2 linked regions of the Ovis aries genome follow. The protein of the gene in region 2 purifies or fractionates together with the protein of the main gene of each other region. This does not show direct contact. Links are inferred from orthologs where the notes say so. Each region holds a gene or a part of one and is shown on either strand. Other genes may lie near its edges.

What was found. Proteins that work in one complex are often made in the same cells at the same time.
Region 1: the proteins of APOB (region 2) and VCP purify together in Homo sapiens (affinity purification with western blotting, with the first as the bait; 3 studies listed by BioGRID). This does not show direct contact. The link is inferred for Ovis aries from reciprocal best matches to the Homo sapiens genes APOB and VCP.

What each region holds. Positions count from the first base shown.
Region 1 is NC_056055.1:53,404,363-53,412,315, reverse strand, and holds part of VCP (transitional endoplasmic reticulum ATPase), read right to left. Parts: intron 7,325-7,953; coding exon 7,182-7,324; intron 6,615-7,181; coding exon 6,484-6,614; intron 5,771-6,483; coding exon 5,639-5,770; intron 4,379-5,638; coding exon 4,276-4,378; intron 3,626-4,275; coding exon 3,492-3,625; intron 3,414-3,491; coding exon 3,278-3,413; intron 2,880-3,277; coding exon 2,767-2,879; intron 2,355-2,766; coding exon 2,190-2,354; intron 2,100-2,189; coding exon 1,977-2,099; intron 1,730-1,976; coding exon 1,517-1,729; intron 1,322-1,516; coding exon 1,013-1,321; intron 746-1,012; coding exon 590-745; intron 1-589. UniProt on the Homo sapiens protein: Necessary for the fragmentation of Golgi stacks during mitosis and for their reassembly after mitosis. Involved in the formation of the transitional endoplasmic reticulum (tER).
Region 2 is NC_056056.1:28,829,818-28,837,770, forward strand, and holds part of APOB (apolipoprotein B-100), read right to left. Parts: intron 7,321-7,953; coding exon 7,167-7,320; intron 6,166-7,166; coding exon 6,010-6,165; intron 5,329-6,009; coding exon 5,204-5,328; intron 4,512-5,203; coding exon 4,426-4,511; intron 3,452-4,425; coding exon 3,232-3,451; intron 2,507-3,231; coding exon 2,279-2,506; intron 2,059-2,278; coding exon 1,941-2,058; intron 1,820-1,940; coding exon 1,673-1,819; intron 553-1,672; coding exon 341-552; intron 80-340; coding exon 1-79. UniProt on the Homo sapiens protein: Apolipoprotein B is a major protein constituent of chylomicrons (apo B-48), LDL (apo B-100) and VLDL (apo B-100). Apo B-100 functions as a recognition signal for the cellular binding and internalization of LDL particles by the apoB/E receptor.

The DNA.
Region 1 (7,953 bases), on a different chromosome or scaffold from region 2:
AGGTTCTCCCAATTCCTGCAGTTCTATTCCTCAAGCAGTCTACTTGGGTGACTTACTTCCTTTACCTAACCTCTATTCTCTTTATAGCCCCGGCTCACATCCTATCTCTTCTACCAAGAAGCCACTCAACTGCTGTGACTTTGGATAGTTTATAAGCTTTTATGAGAGGGAGAGAAACATCACTAATGGTAGAGAAAGCCAATCACTTATTTGCTTATTAAGTCAGTTTCCAACACTGTGCCATGCTACAGTGGGAAACAAGTGAGATAACAAAAATCCCTATCTTTATTGAGCCTATATATACATACATATCAAATTCTGCATTTAATTCAGGGGGTCCATGGAACACCAAGAAAAGGTCCATAGATCCTAGCTTCTCAGCCCTGCTCTATTTGTTTCTATGCTCATTTCTTCTCAGCCTTTGTAATTCCCAATTGACATGGTTATCTGAGTACTCAGCATTTTCTCTTCCATGGCATGCTAAACATCTGATAGATGACCTTTCCAAAACTGTACACTCTAGGGCACTGTGGAGATTGTCCCCTGGCTCCCTAAGACAGGCACATCTGGGTTAAGGATGCAGACTCACCATTGCTGATGGGTTGGTCTGCCGCTCCCGTTCTCGCCTGATTTCACTCTCAATCGATTCACGAATGGCCAACTTGCAAGCACGTTGGCAAATCTCGGTCAAATCAGCTCCAGAGAAGCCATTAGTCATTTTAGCCAGGAACTCTAAATCCACATCCTAAAAGAAGCAAGAGAGCTACCTTAGCTTTTAGCCTCTTTTGATACACTGATCTTTGAGCCACCAAAGCACTCCCAATTCCACTTTGTTCCATCCTCTGCCACCAGTTTTATTCCTTATTCTAGATATCTTAATACCCTCAAATCTTCCATCTTTCCTTTTCAACCATAACCCCAGAAATCCCCAATGGAACCTTGTCCAGGAACCAAGGAGCATTCCACACAGCCTGCAAATTCACGACCCTGCAACCCAAGACCTTGCACCTGCCTTGGCAACTGGGGACTTGCGCAGGTTGGCCTTGAGAATGGCAACACGGGACTTCTCGTCGGGAAGTGGGATATAGATGAGCTGATCAAGGCGGCCAGGTCGCAGGATGGCAGGATCAATGATGTCAGGTCGGTTGGTAGCGCCAATGATAAATACATTTTTCTTTGTGGACATGCCATCCATTTCTGTCAGGATCTGGTTGATGACTCGGTCAGCAGCCCCACCACCATCTCCAATGTTGCCACCACGGGCCTTGGCAATCGAATCCAGCTCATCAAAGAACAGTACACAGGGGGCAGCTTGGCGTGCCTGTGAGAGACAGATGGACTTGAGCATTAGCACAACTGGGTCTCTCAGACCTGAGGAAAAATGGAAAATAAAGTGACCTTCACTGCCCTAACTGAGCTGTCAGAATGGGATGGTCTTAACTCTCCCAAAGAACAACCTCTACCCCTAACTTGTTCCCAAGCAAGTGAACTGATAGCCCAGCCACTTGTAGCTCACCTTGTCGAAGATTTCCCTCACGTTGGCCTCAGACTCCCCAAACCACATGGTGAGCAGCTCAGGACCCTTGATGGAGATGAAGTTGGCCTGGCACTCATTAGCAATGGCTTTGGCCAGCAAGGTTTTCCCACAGCCAGGAGGTCCATAGAACAGTACTCCCTTGGAGGGTGTCATGCCAAACTTGAGGAATTTGTCTGGGTGCTCCACAGGATACTAGGAAGAAAAAGAAAGAGGATTCAGGGCTATCTCCCCCAGTTTGAGAGAAACCCAACCTAACAGAAGCATCCTCCCACACCATCTCATGGTGTAAGGTGACAGGATTCTTGGTGCTTCCAACCTCAGAACAGCAGGTTCCTGAATCATGCTCATAATTTCTGCAATCAATGTGTCAACACCCCAATACCACCAGCTCAATGACAATGTGCTGAAGCAGTGACCCACCCTGGACCAAGCACCCTACCTGGACCAGCTCCTGAAGCTCACGTTTGACATCCTCCAAGCCCCCAATGTCCTCCCAGGTCACCTGAGGCACCTCTACCACAGTTTCCCGCAGTGCTGATGGGTTGCTCTGGCTCAGGGCCCACTAAAAAGGGAAGAAAAATTGGGGATGAGAATTGCCAGGCAAGAGATCAAAGTGCATGTGTGTGCACCTGAAATGGAGAGCGGCCCTTACTCGGAAGTCGTCCATAGTAACTGCCAGGGAGTTCATGACCTCAGCATCAATGGTCTCATCTTCTAGGTCAATGAGGTCCATCTTCTTGCGGATGGCTTGCAGAGCAGCCTCAGAGCACAGGGCTGCTAAGTCAGCTCCCACGTGCCCATGAGTCTCATTAGCTACCTGCAGAGAGAAGATCCACTTACTCTCCTGCCTCTGAGACCTAGCTTAGATGTCTCTATTCTGGCTTAGATAACAGAACCCTGCCCTCTTCCTCTGACTCCTATCTCTGGGTCCTCCATTTCCCTAAACTCATACCAGCAGCCCTTTCATTAGCTGGACTCTTAAGTATTCAAGCCTGCACTTGGGGCCTGGAAATAAAGCTGCCCCCAATATTCTGGTTCACCCTAATTCAGTAAACCAAGAAAAATGCCAAACCTAGTTTCCTGGATTCAATCTCAGATCACTTCCCTTTCCCTGCCCAGGAATTAAAATCAATCGCCTCACATCTGAAGCTTCTGTCCCTAGTCAGTTCCCTTCAACTGTCTGGCAACAAGACATCCGAACTTCTGGCCAGCCCTCATCAACATGCCACCTGTTCAAGGTCCACATCATCTGCCAGCTTCATGTTCTTGGTGTGGATCTGAAGAATTTCCAAGCGTCCGGTAGCGTCAGGGATTCCAATATCCACCTCTCTGTCAAAGCGACCTGTGAGATGACGCATAGACAGGGATCATTTCTGGTGCATAGGGAAGAAGGGCCCAGGCCTAAGGCATCCAACCATTCCACTGTGACCAGGAAATGTCTGGTGTTAGCACTGAAAGCCCCATAACTTGGGAAATCCCTCAGTCTCAGGCAAACCAGGATGCGTGGTTACCCTGGACATGACATGGAATAAGGGAAAGAAAGGACTTTACTCTTTGCCTAACTGCAAAGGGCTTCATGAAATCCTCAAAAAAAAAAAAAAGAAAGAAAGAAAAGAAAGAAATCCTCAGGATTAGGTGACTTAGATGAAGGACAGATATGGGATCAACAGGATTAAGCCCACTGGAGACATAATCTCCACATGAGCAAAGACAGCAAGAAGAGTTATTTGGGGTCCTTACCAAATCGCCGTAGGGCTGGGTCAATGCTGTTGGGTCTGTTGGTTGCTGCCATAACAATGACATGTGCTCTTTGCTTTAGGCCATCCATGAGGGTCAACAACTGTGATACAATACGTCGCTCTACCTCCCCATGGGTCTGTCAGGACAAAATGTCTGGTCAGAAGTGAAGTCAGGACCTTTTACAACCCTACTATCCCCTTGGTTAAGTTCCTACTTTCTCTCTTTTGGGAGCAATGGCATCCAACTCATCAATGAAAATGATAGCAGGAGCATTCTTCTCAGCCTCTTCAAAGGCTTTACGAAGGTTGCTCTCAGACTCACCGGCCAACTTGCTCATGATCTCAGGACCTGAAAGCAAATAGAATGCATGCAGTGACAAAAATATATCCTTCCTCAATCTCAAAAAGTATTCGGATATCTTGTCTGTCTAGCTCAGAGACAGGTCCTGGGTGAGAATGTGGTAACATCTGCCTACTTTCTCACAGCCCCTACCAACAATTATCCCAGGGTAGCCACCAAGCCAGGATAAAAGGATGTCAAGGGGCTCAATACACTTATCTCAGTTGAGCTGAAAGGTATGAAGATGGTGACAGCAGATGCTGTGGGACCTCTGGCCAGAGCAGAAGCAGCACCGGTTGGACCCCTACCAGTGAAATATCATTCTCAAAGAGATAGTTGATCTCAGCCAGTCTTCCCCCAAACCCTCTCAAATAAGTAAGCATAGACATTTTGAGTTCTCATTCTAACTTACTCCTCTTTAATGTCTTTAGCCTATTAACGCTCTTTCTCAAGGTGGGATAGATCAAGGGACACCAGAGTAACACACCCTCCCCTTGCTGCTTATCTGTCTGCAATAGACTTTAGAATACAAACACTTAAGTATACATGAGGCTATGTACACAAATGAGCATGTCCATGATTTCTCCTGCTCATGAGACTGGGTCATGCTTAGCTCAAAGTGGAGTCCAGCCAAACACAAAGTGAACCAAGTCTCCTACCATTGATCAAAAAGAAGAAGGCGCCAGTCTCATTTGCCACAGCTCGAGCAATCAAGGTCTTCCCTGTCCCAGGAGGTCCATAGAGCAGGATTCCTCGAGGAGGCTGAGGACCAGTACAGAGGGTTGATTAGGTTCAGATTCTCATCTTCTCCCAACCCCAGGTACCCTAAAATGGCCTAAGAAGGACTCTATTTAAACAGGATGAGAATTAGAGCTCAACTCTGAATGAGCCCTCAAATAGCAGTTGTCAAGCAGTTGTCAGGAAGACACCTTACTTCAGACCATACTCCCTCCTCTTTGCAGCAGAGATAATAATGGCAGAAAGCTGACAATATTTATGAATACACAGGAGACAGACAGCAGAGAAACCACACTAAGAAACTCTTAGTATGAGTGAGTCTGAAGATCCGGGATCTAGGAAAAGTAAGAGGGCATTAGGCCAAGGGCCTGACTTTAAACAGGACTAGCTCAGCCATTTAAGAGTGTTGGCCAGAGGCTCATTCACTGCTATAATCACAGCCCTCCAGGATTTACTATCATGTTGGAATGCCTTCTCCTACCAACAGCCACAAGTTTTCCTCTTTGAAGCTGTCTTTTCTCTGGCTTCATCCACTGGAAGGATATGGAAAAGTACCCCCCAAAAAGATAAATTTATTTACACAATGTACACTAGGGAAAGGGATAGATGCAAACTTCATCTTCAGGGTGTCCTATGATACAGGAACAACTGGGATGTTACATTTTAGACCAGCAGTTCTCAAATATTCTGGACTCAGGATCCTTCACACTGCAAATTTGCTTTACTGTTATCGGGCAACACTTGGCTTCCCTAGTGGCTCAGAGGATAAAGCGTCTGCCTGCAATGCAGGAGACCTGGGTTCGATCCCTGGGTTGGGAAGATTCCCTGGAGAAGGAAATGGGAACCCACTCCAGTATTCTTGCCTGGATAATCCCATGGACAGAGGAGCCTGGCGGGCTACAGTCCACGGGGTCACAAAGAGTTGGACACGACTGAGCGACTTCACACACACACATTCTAGACAAGCTGGCAAACTATGGTGAGACTTTAAATAATAAATATTTAAAACAGACTATTTATATTTATAGGGTCCATTAGATAAAAACAGTCTTTACATTTTGAAGGTTGTAATTAAGAAAAAAAATTCAACAGAGAACTTAACTGACCTACTCTGTTCTAGACCATTAGTAGCTATAACGAATTTAGAGTGTTTTATAAACCTGAATATAGTACTTCCTCTTGAATCCAAGGCAATGATGAAACAGATATGAAAACAGGTCCTAGGATTAGATGGTGAGTAGTTGTTAATCACCACCCTAGGCTAACAGAGCCCAGAATACTCACCTTCACACCAATGGCCTTAAAGAGGGCAGGATGTCTCAGGGGCAACTCCACCATCTCCTTTATCTGAGCTAACTGTTTCCTGCAGCCACCAATGTCATCGTAGCCCACTTCATTCAAGGATTCTTCCTCATCCTGAAGATGGAAGAGAAAAAGAAAAGAAGATAAGAATGCTACTATCAGCAAAAAGAAAAGGAGAAGATAAGAATGCTACTATCAGCAAAAGGTGAATTTCTCTAAAGCTGGTTTACAGAATCTGCTGTATGAGAAGATTCTGCTCTAAGGGGATCATGCCTCAAAAAACAATTCAAAAAACCCCAGGGCAAGAATTTATTTATTTATATGGCCATGCTGTGCAGCTTGCGGGATCTTAGTTCCCCAACAGGGATCAAACCCACACCCTAAGCAGTAAGAGCGCAGAGTCCTAACAACTGAGCTGCCAGGGAATTTCCAATCTTTGCTTTTACTTTATATTTGTTTATTCATTCCATGACAAAGATTTCTAGCATAGCCTTTCCTTATTACATTGTCGTTAGTCTTATTGCGGTGGGCTCCCCTAAGACCTGAAGCTAGAAAGTGTGGGAAACGGGCAGGGATCTAGATGTCATATCAGCATCACTTCTTCAAAAATTATTTCAACCACTAGACTCATTAAGCTCAATCTAGATTTTAAAAATTATTGATATCAGATACTTCTAAAAAATACCTATGTCCAGAAATGAATAGCTATGCTTTCCACCTCTGGGAAGTAGCTTAACCATCAAGCCTGAGGATTCTTTGGAACTACCACACTACTGCCTTGCTGAGCACTCACAAAGTGGGATACTGGGATCAGGAAGAGAACTCACCTCTCGTTTGATAGGCTCCCCTTCACAGTGGATCACTGTGTCTGGCGCAACAATGCAATAAGGACTGGGATCTGTCTCCACTACTTTGAACTCTACGGCACGCATTCCACCCCGGACAAGGAAAATGTCTCCTGTGAGAGCAATCAGCACAAGAGCAGTCAGAGGTATCTATCACCAGACCAAGCTAAGAACTCCCCATCAGAACCTGGGATCTAGAATGCCAAGTTCACTAGATACTGTCCTTTCTCCTTCCCATCCACATCTTATTAAGCATCAGGCAAAAAGAGAAAGCTGAATTGTGAAAAGTCTCTCTGCCCCTTAAAAGACAGTGAATAAAACCTGATGTGCCAGGAAGAAACCCATAAGATTTTTGACTTCTGGGATATAGATAACCCAAGCTTGCACAACCACCACCAGCAGAACTGCGTTAAGTATTAAATACACTGTGGACTGTGATACACCCCAAATTGCCCACCTCTTCCTTCAGAGATACAAGAGAAGATAGCTTACTGTACTGGAGCAAACAGTGGGAATGGGAAAAAGGGAAGTGCAAGGAAGCAGGGAAGGAGAAAGTACACATGTACAGAATGTGTATGTATGCACACATGTATGAGAATAGACAAAGATGGACCAAGGTTTACTTTTGGGTATCCCTACAACAATTGCCCTTGAGTTCAGTCCTTAGAATTATTTCTCACCTTTCCGGATGGGTCGATAAGCTTCCAGGAAGTATGGCTTAAGGTAAACCTCAAAGAGATTGCCAGTGATGCCTTCCACCGTGTCATCGATGGGTAGTACATGGATGCGTTTGCCGTACTTCACATCAGGGCATGGCTGGATGCTGAGGATGACAAGCAGACTCCACATTACCAACCACATCGCAGCCCCAAGCTCTGGGTGTCCAAAAGGGCCTGGCACAGAGAGCTGATGGCGAGCGAAAGAGAAAAGGCAGGGATGGCTTTAGGTGAAGAGAGGCAAGAGGGTAGTGTTGGAGTGAGGGCAAAGCAACAGCCAAGCAGAACAGGTCATATGCAGGGTAGAGTGATAGGGGGAGCCTCTAGAAGAAGCTGCTGAGACTGCCCACTCACAATTGGTGAGGCAAAAGAAAGACCCACACATCTGGAATCCCCACGAAGACACAGAAGGGAAGGTCTTCAATGAGACATATCCAAGGATGACCCATTCTGGTTACTACTGGTAACCCAACACTACAAAAGGGGACCTTAGTCTGACAAGTGTCAGGGTCAGAGAAATACATGTGAAAAAATCATCTCAGTCAGGTGGTCAGAGCACCTTGAGAAAGTGACTAAGCACTTCCAGGAAGAAGGCTCCATAAAACCTAGAATCCCCCCCAAAAGAATCTGAAGCCTGAGATGTTCCTGGCCAGGTGACAGGTAGCAGTGGCCTGGGTAGCAGTGGCCAGGGATGACTTCAAGACGGAGAAACCTCTTGCCTAAAGTCTAATCACTC
Region 2 (7,953 bases):
GCTCTGGGAGAATTTCTTGAAATCCATGATAGTTGGAAGCTGAGATTTTTTCAGAGCTTCTTCCACTAAGCTTTTCAAGCTAGACAAAAAGAAGGAGAGTATTTTGAGCTGACATACATCATGTTACTCTCTCATTCCCAAGTCAATGTGGATTTCCAATCGCTACCAAACTCTTTGGGTTTTATTTGCCCCCAAAGCTTGGCTCAGATCTGCTGCACTTTCACACAGATGTTGGTTCCAGAAGAAAGAACAGCCTTAAAGGGCAGGCAGTGGCTAAATCAGAATTGAGGTTTGGAGTTTCAGCCCCTTGCAGCAGATGCATGAAAATGACTTTACTTACTCCTGGACATACAGATCTTCTGAGTTTAAGATGTTGGCGATGTGGGAAGCCACAAAATTCTTCACTTGCTCATTCTGTTCCCGAGGAAGAAGTTGGGTGATCTTGCTAATATCCGACTGGGAAGGACTCCCCATTAGCATGAGATAGGCAGCCAGCCGCTTATCCCCTGGAGAGGTGTCATCGAGGAAAGTCTGAAGAAGGACTTCCCGGACCTGTAGTCCAAAGATGAGACTGTCATCACTGTCAGAACATGCAACATGTCTGGTAAACATGCCTGATCTTATTTTGCAAGTGGAATTTCTCTCTATTAATTCTTCAAATGCTGTTACTGAACCTTCTTCACCCAGAGCAACCAGCTCTAGGAAGGGTTCTCAGAAGACACATATCAAATGCATGTTGAGGGGCTTCCCTGGTGGTCAGTGGTTAAGACTGTCTTCCAATGCAGGGGGTGTGGATTCGATCCCTGGTTGGGCAGCTGAGGTTCCCAAATGCTTCGTGGCCAAAAAACCAAAACATAAAACTGAAGCAATATTGTAACAAATTCAATAAAGACTTTAGAAATGGTCCACATCAAAAAGAATTTAAAAAATCTGCATGCTGAATTCAATTGCATTAAAATATACAAATCATGGCCAAGTTATGACTTGTTGGAGATCTGCCACTAACTGAAGATAAAGATGTTTTAACATAAATTATTTCAATATGAGGGTTAATGTGAGAAGGAATCAGGAGAATTTGATGCTAATAAGTAAGTCAGGTTGTCTGCAAAGCTGTGGAATCACCATCACCACCTTTGGGGGCCAGTTTGACTCTCTTAGTCTAGGGAAACAGGGGGAAAAAAATCAGACATGTTTTCCAAAGATGGGAGTGATGGTCAGTCTGGTGAGAGGACAGCAGGTAGTGAAAAAAATCACACTTCGCCTGCTGAAGTAGCAGGAAGGCCAACTATTTTTCTCATGTCTGCATATGGCTAGGCAGTCAGTTGTTTAGTTGGTAAGTCATGTCTGACTCTCTTGTAACCCCATTGACTGTACCTTGCTAGGCTCCTCTGAAAATGGGATTTTCCAGAAAAGAAAGGGTGCAGTGGGTTGCCATTTCCGTTTCCAGGGGACCTTTCCCACCCAGGGATCAAACCTGTGTCTCCTACATTGGCAGGAATATTCTTTAGCACTGAGCCATCTGGAAGCCCCAGGCAGTCAATAGGTGTATTGAAATTTGCAATTAAAGAGCCGTAGAATAAAGTCAGTAGAATGGTGAGATTTAGAATCTCATTCCAAATCTTTGTCAGTCTGAATCAACTCGTCATTTTCGGCCCTCTTCTGTGGCCCTTACCTCATCACTAAGCTCCATTTTCCGCAGGGCCTGGATGGCAGCCTTCTGAATCACCAGGGATGGCTGTTCACTTCTGATACATTTCAGGACTGAAGATGTAAGTTTTGGGGTTAGTTGCTCCATGGTTTTACCAATATTTCCTATGACCTACATTGAAAATAAACAAGAGAGAATCAGGGCTCAGAAGGTGCAGTGAGGGGCAGACAGAAAAAGTGTGTCTGAAATGATGCCTATTATACAAAACCAACAAACAAAAAACTGAAAATACCCTCAGAATCAGGTAGGTGAGATCTTCGTTCCCAGTGCAGTCATTGCCAATCTGTTCTGACAGGTAATCAGCAATTTCCAGCAGGTCCTGTGTCCACGTAGGGTTTGTCTTATGATAGCTACAGAAGAAGAGTTAGGATTCAGCAAGCATAGCCAGGCTTATCTTAAAATATACACTGATGTTCGCTGATCTCTCATTTTAAGTCATTACTCTCAAAATTGACCATTAGACAAACGAAAGGGTAAGCATCAGAATTTGCAAGTGGAGGGAGGGTACAAACAACACTGACATGCGGGGTCTTCCTTTGCTCCTACGAGGAGAACCAGTGGAAAACTCACTTGTTGATCATGTGACTCAGAGCATAAAACGTGAGCCGGCTCTGCTGCACTCTTGCGGTGTTAAAGACCTCCCGCAGCCTCTCGGCCGAGGGCTCTGGGATCAAGGCCACCAGGTAGGTCACAGCATCTATCAGAAGGGGGTTGGCTCTCTCATTTTTCAGCCACTGGAGGATGTGAGTGTAGCACTGGGGCTGTCCACACTGAATCAAGGCTTGTAAAGTGATGGGGCTGAGAAGAAAAGGGCAGAGAAAGAAAGATCACCTTCTAGGCAGCTAAAACCTCCTTGGCCCCCAGGGTTCCCTCTGTCAGGAATTCCCTTATTCAAGATCCAAATCCAACCATCTTCCAAAATCTAACTCAGATCCCTAGAGAATAGAGAAGCCTTCCCCATAAGTAGCATCCACTGGAGAAGCACCATGGAGCAAAGTCCGAAGAAGGACCCCCTGGACTCAACACCCAGAGAGGACTGTTACCCTTTGGTCAGAAGATGGAACATGCCACATAAACACTCGCCCAGTCCCTTCTCTGACCTTCACAGCACTAAGACGGCACTGAAGTAAAGAGAAGTCACGGTATTATTTTGTTTGCTTGAGTTCTCTCTCCTCTAGCCTACAGGCTTCCAGAAAACACAGACTTCTTATCCTCTCTCACTTCCCAGGGTACTCATAGAACAAGGGATTAAAGATACCCATCAAAATGTGGGAAAGATTTCCCTCCTATCTCAACATGTAAATATTTATCTACCTTGAATGCAATGTACGTGTGTGTGTTACCCATGGAACTCGAGACACCTTAGCTGACATTTCTCTATCGAGCAAACATTTACTGACTGACTCAATTGATTAAATGGGTTGAAATTTCAATGGTTCCTGAGATTCTCTGGCTGAGGTCTCAGCCAGCTCCCATGGGCTCATAATCTATGAAGGTTTGAGTTGTGACTGCTCAAGAAATACCTGGACACCTCGATCAGCTTTGGCAAGAGGGAGGTGACTGCCTCACTGCTGAGGCCTCGCAGCTCGGTCACTAGTTTATGGAAGAGGTTGGCTCTCTGGGCATTCTGCTCAGAGACGTGCAGTTTCTGCAGCTCCTGGAGCGTCTTCACAATGGCCTCAGCGTGCTTTGGAGGTGACGTGGACCTGGTGCTCTCAAAGGCAAGACCCACTGCCTCAGTACCTGGAAGGAGGAGCGTGTCAGAGGGATTCCAGCTTACCCCTGCATCTCAGCCTCATCTTTCTTCTAGAAGCTGGAGATCCAGGAGGGGTCAGCAAGAGGAGGGTGGAGAAAAGAAGCCTCTCTTGTTCTGTTCTTAGTGCCTGTTTTGTGACTGGCTCTGGGCTAGGGGTCTGACTTCAGTGTTTCCCTAACTTGCCACTCTCTCCTTGTGATTAGCGTGAATATTGTGCACACCTGCTGTTGCTTCAGTCCTGTCTGACTCTTTGCAACCCCATAGACCGTAGCCTGCCAGGCTCCCTTATCCATGGGATTCTCCAGGCAAGAATACTGGAGTGAGTGCCATGGCCTTCTCCAGGGGATCTTCCCAACCCAGGGATGGAACCTGAGGCTCTTACATCTCCTGCACTGGCAGCCAGGTTCTTTACCACGAGCACCACTTGGGAAGTTCAGCGTTAATATTATTCCTCAATTTAAAGATAAGGGAACTAAGACCCAGAGGTGAGCCACTTACTGTGCCCAAGAGCTTAAAGCACATGCTGCTACCACCTGACATCACAGGTGGCTGAGAATGAGGTAGGGCACACGACTCATTGACATAAAGATAGGTGCAGCGCTGAGGTTGGACTAGAGGTTTCTCTAGTTCCCTTCAGCTCTAAAGACTGATTCCTGACCTTTCCCATTTGCCCTGCCTCGCTCAGGCCTGGCTGTCCAATTTACCAAAGGTGGACTTGGGAGGCCAGTTTCCTATTTCCAATATTATCCTATTTCCAGGGAGTGCTAGGAGAACTCTCCCCTTTCCTTTATCCCATTGCCACCTGACATTCTGAAATGAACAGGCTTTCTCAGTAGAACGGCCCATGGCCAGAAGCCCAGAGCCCAGGACTCTCACAGGGCCCAGCAAGGAGCTAAGCCATGGTAGGTACCTCATGGGCAGGTTTCCCAACCCTGGCAACCATGTGTACATCACACCTTACCTTCCTCAAAGAAGCGGCTGTTGATCTTAGGTGTGTCTTCAAGTTTCAAAGTCTGTGTGACCTGTGCCATCATCCCGTATTTGTTCCTGGCAACACAGGAATGACAGCATGTCGCGGATGGCCAGGCTCCCCGTAGCATCCTCTGCTCTTCATGTTGAATGTCTCCCCTAACTCCGCTCCTCCCCAAATCCTGCTCCCCTTTCAAACCATACTTATTTATATCCAGCTGTCCTTGACCGCCTGTGAACAGCAACAGCTCCTTCTGGTCATGCTGGCTGTCCTTCCATCAGAAGGACCCCTATACCTTATACTCTCCACCATTCCAGAGTGCCCAGAGGGAATGAACTAACACTAAGCTCCAAAATTCTTTTGTGATCTTCCATAGTTCAGTGCCAAGAATATAGATAGCAGTTACTCAGTCAACACTAGTTGACTGACCAGTTTTCAAAATGGATATGTAAGTCTCTAGGCCAATTCCAAAATCTTCTGTAAAGCCTTTCTAACCCGATCAGCTAGTAATGGTTCCAGTTTTTCCTGATCTCGAGCCCTTAAAGCCTGGATCTCAGATATCTTTTGTTGGTTTTGAATTGTTCCTCATGCCTAAGTCTTTCCTACCAAACGGCCTATTAGCTTGAGACAGGAGGATAGAAATACATTCTGCTTTGTACCTTTTCATACCTCCTCCCAGGCACAGCCTAGCTTGCAACAGGGCACCGAGAAGCATTCAGCTCTTAATGGCCCCATAAATAAGGAATCGGGGCTACAGCCAGGGACCTACTTGTAGGAGAAGGGCAGGAATAGGTGTTGCTCATTGCAGATGGCTTCTGACACGTGCTTCCTCCTTGGGTCCAGGGTGTACCGGCAGGACTGGCTGCTGCCAATCAGTGTTGACAAGGGGCGGGTCTGTGAATGGGATCAGGGGAAAAGCATTTTCATCAGGCCCTGGGGCTTGAACCTGAGTCTTCTCCCATGTGTATTTCCCTTCAGGGAAGAAAATGGGGGAACAGGGGTTCTGTACCACTAGATAAACTCAGCGAGAGAAGAGAGCTTCATACTTGACTTTTAGTCAAGGGGATGAAAACCCAAAAGCTGAGTCCAGCTGTAGACTTTTCTTATTTCACTCCAGGAGACTTCTGATCTGTACAAAGTATTTATAACCTGGAATCCAGCACATGGGGCTTCCTAGGTGGCACTAGTAGTAAAGAACCTGCTTGCCAATGAAGGAAACACAATGAAACATGTGTTTGATTGTTCCCTGGATTGGGGAGATCCCCTGGAGAAGGGCATGGCAACCCATGCCAGTATTCTTGCCTGGAGAATCCCATGGACAGAGGAGCCTGGCAGGCTACAGTCCATGGGGTCGCAAAAAGTCGGACACGACTGAAGCGACTTAGCATGCATGCATGCATCTGACATGACTCCCTGTCCTGCCACACACGAACACTTGACACCTGTTCCTACTGCTCCTTATGTTTTCTCTGCCTGGAATTTTTTCTCTGGAATCCCTTCTAGCTCTAACATTCCATAATGTTAATAATGAAGAGGCTGCTGCCAGTGTGCATAGCAATGCTGATGTGAACTTACCATGCCTCTAATCAAAGCGAGTGGGCTAACTCCCGTGCTAATGGGCTGGAAGTGATCACACTTCCTCAGATTTCTTTCAATGGATATTTCTGTTGCCACGTTTCCCTTCTTCGTTTTAACAGTAAAGTCTGTGGAGCAGTTTCCATACACGGTATCCTAGGGCAGCAGGAGATACAACAAGTGTACTCAACACAGGGAACCATCTTTAGGTGCTTGGGGTGGGGCTGGGAAAGAAGCCTGTAAGAAAAGCCTGTAAGAAAGAAGTCTGTAAGAAAAGAAAAGAAAAGAAAAGCTTTCTCCCAGATCTCCCATGGATCTGGGAGAAAGCTTCGTCCTCTTGGACAGAACGTGGGTGCGGTTGGTTCCTGGGCAGCCAGGGTGGGCGTGAGAAAACCTCTTAAGGGTGGTCCTGGCTCTTTGGCATGTACTCCAATCCGTTTTGTGTTGTATATGTCTTGGTTCTCCCCCCAGATCCTGAGACCTCCCGGTGTAGGGGCCCCTGCAGAATGCAGCAGTATCTGCTCCCCGGGGAGTGCAGCACAGAGCTCAGAACGTAGTAAGGGCTCAAAAGTGTTCACGGGACTGAACTAAACTGAACGTGTCCTCAGAGCAAAACCTGGGATTCTTAAAAGAGGCTAGCAAATAGTCAGTTATTTTCTGTGTTTAAAATGCACACAGGGGACTTCGTTGGTGGTCCAGTGGTTAAGACTCTGCTTTCCAATGCAAGGAGCACAGTCCCTGGTCGGGGAACTAAGATCCCACATGTTGCAGAGTGTGGCCAGAAATTACACACACACACACACACACACACACACACACACACACACACACACATACACACACACACACAAAGAGAGGCCTTACTGTGCTCTACCTTGTGGAAACATAACAAAATCAAACAGAGGGTAGGATGGTCAGGACTCCTCAGAAACTGCTGTAAAATTAGATCTAACCTGCTCAGGCTGTGTGGGCTGGGCCCTCAGTGAGCCCAGAGATCAGGGGAGCTCTGAGCAACGTGCTTCACACCAATACAGGGCCTCCTGTGTAACTAGCCACGCAGCTGAGTCAACGATCCAGTTGATGTATAAGTGGAACCCAGCTCCACTATGTGAGGAGGAGTTCAAAGGATCACTGTTATCAGCTTTTTAAATTCTCACCAGAAATAACACTTGCTTAGCCTTTTCCGTTTCTGGGGGAAGCAGGAGGGCAGAGATGATGCCTCTCTTGATGTTGAGGATGTGTTTAGGCTCTTCTTTCTCTGGGTAAAGTAGAACTTGCTTGCCTTCAGGAACAGCCAGCTTGAGGTCATACCTGGTGCAGAGAGAGTATGGTTACCAGGGGTTCCTTCTCCACCGTGAGCCATAGGCTAGGTGGCTTTGCAGCCTCCTTTTTACATCATTTTTTGATAAATATCAGCACATATACATATATTTTCAAAAAAGTATACAAGTATGTGTATGCTTCTGGTATTCTTTCTTTTTCTTTCTTTTCTTTTTTATTTTTTTGCTTTGCTTGGCTCACCCAGTCCCTCTCTCTCCCCATATGAGTCTCTGCAGTCACTCTCCCCACACAACACCCCACTGGGCCTTCCATTCATATCTCCACACTCACATGATCTTATACAGAAGCATGGGAGTGAAAACACCTTCATAGAAATAGTTTGTCATTGCTGGTTTTATCCAAATGGCATGGCATCATGCATACTTGTCTTTATCTTGTTCTTCTCATTTAATTCTACTCCATGAAAATCCTTGAGTCATCTGGCAGCACCCTAACAGATTCTCTTTACAAAGCTGCGTAACAGTCCACTCTGTGGTTATATATTCTTTATTCAGATCGTCTCCTATTTGATGGCATTCATCTTTTCTGTTCCTGGATGTTTAAATTTTTTTCCCCACCAACAACACTGATACAAACATTTTTATGCATCTATCTTCACATGTC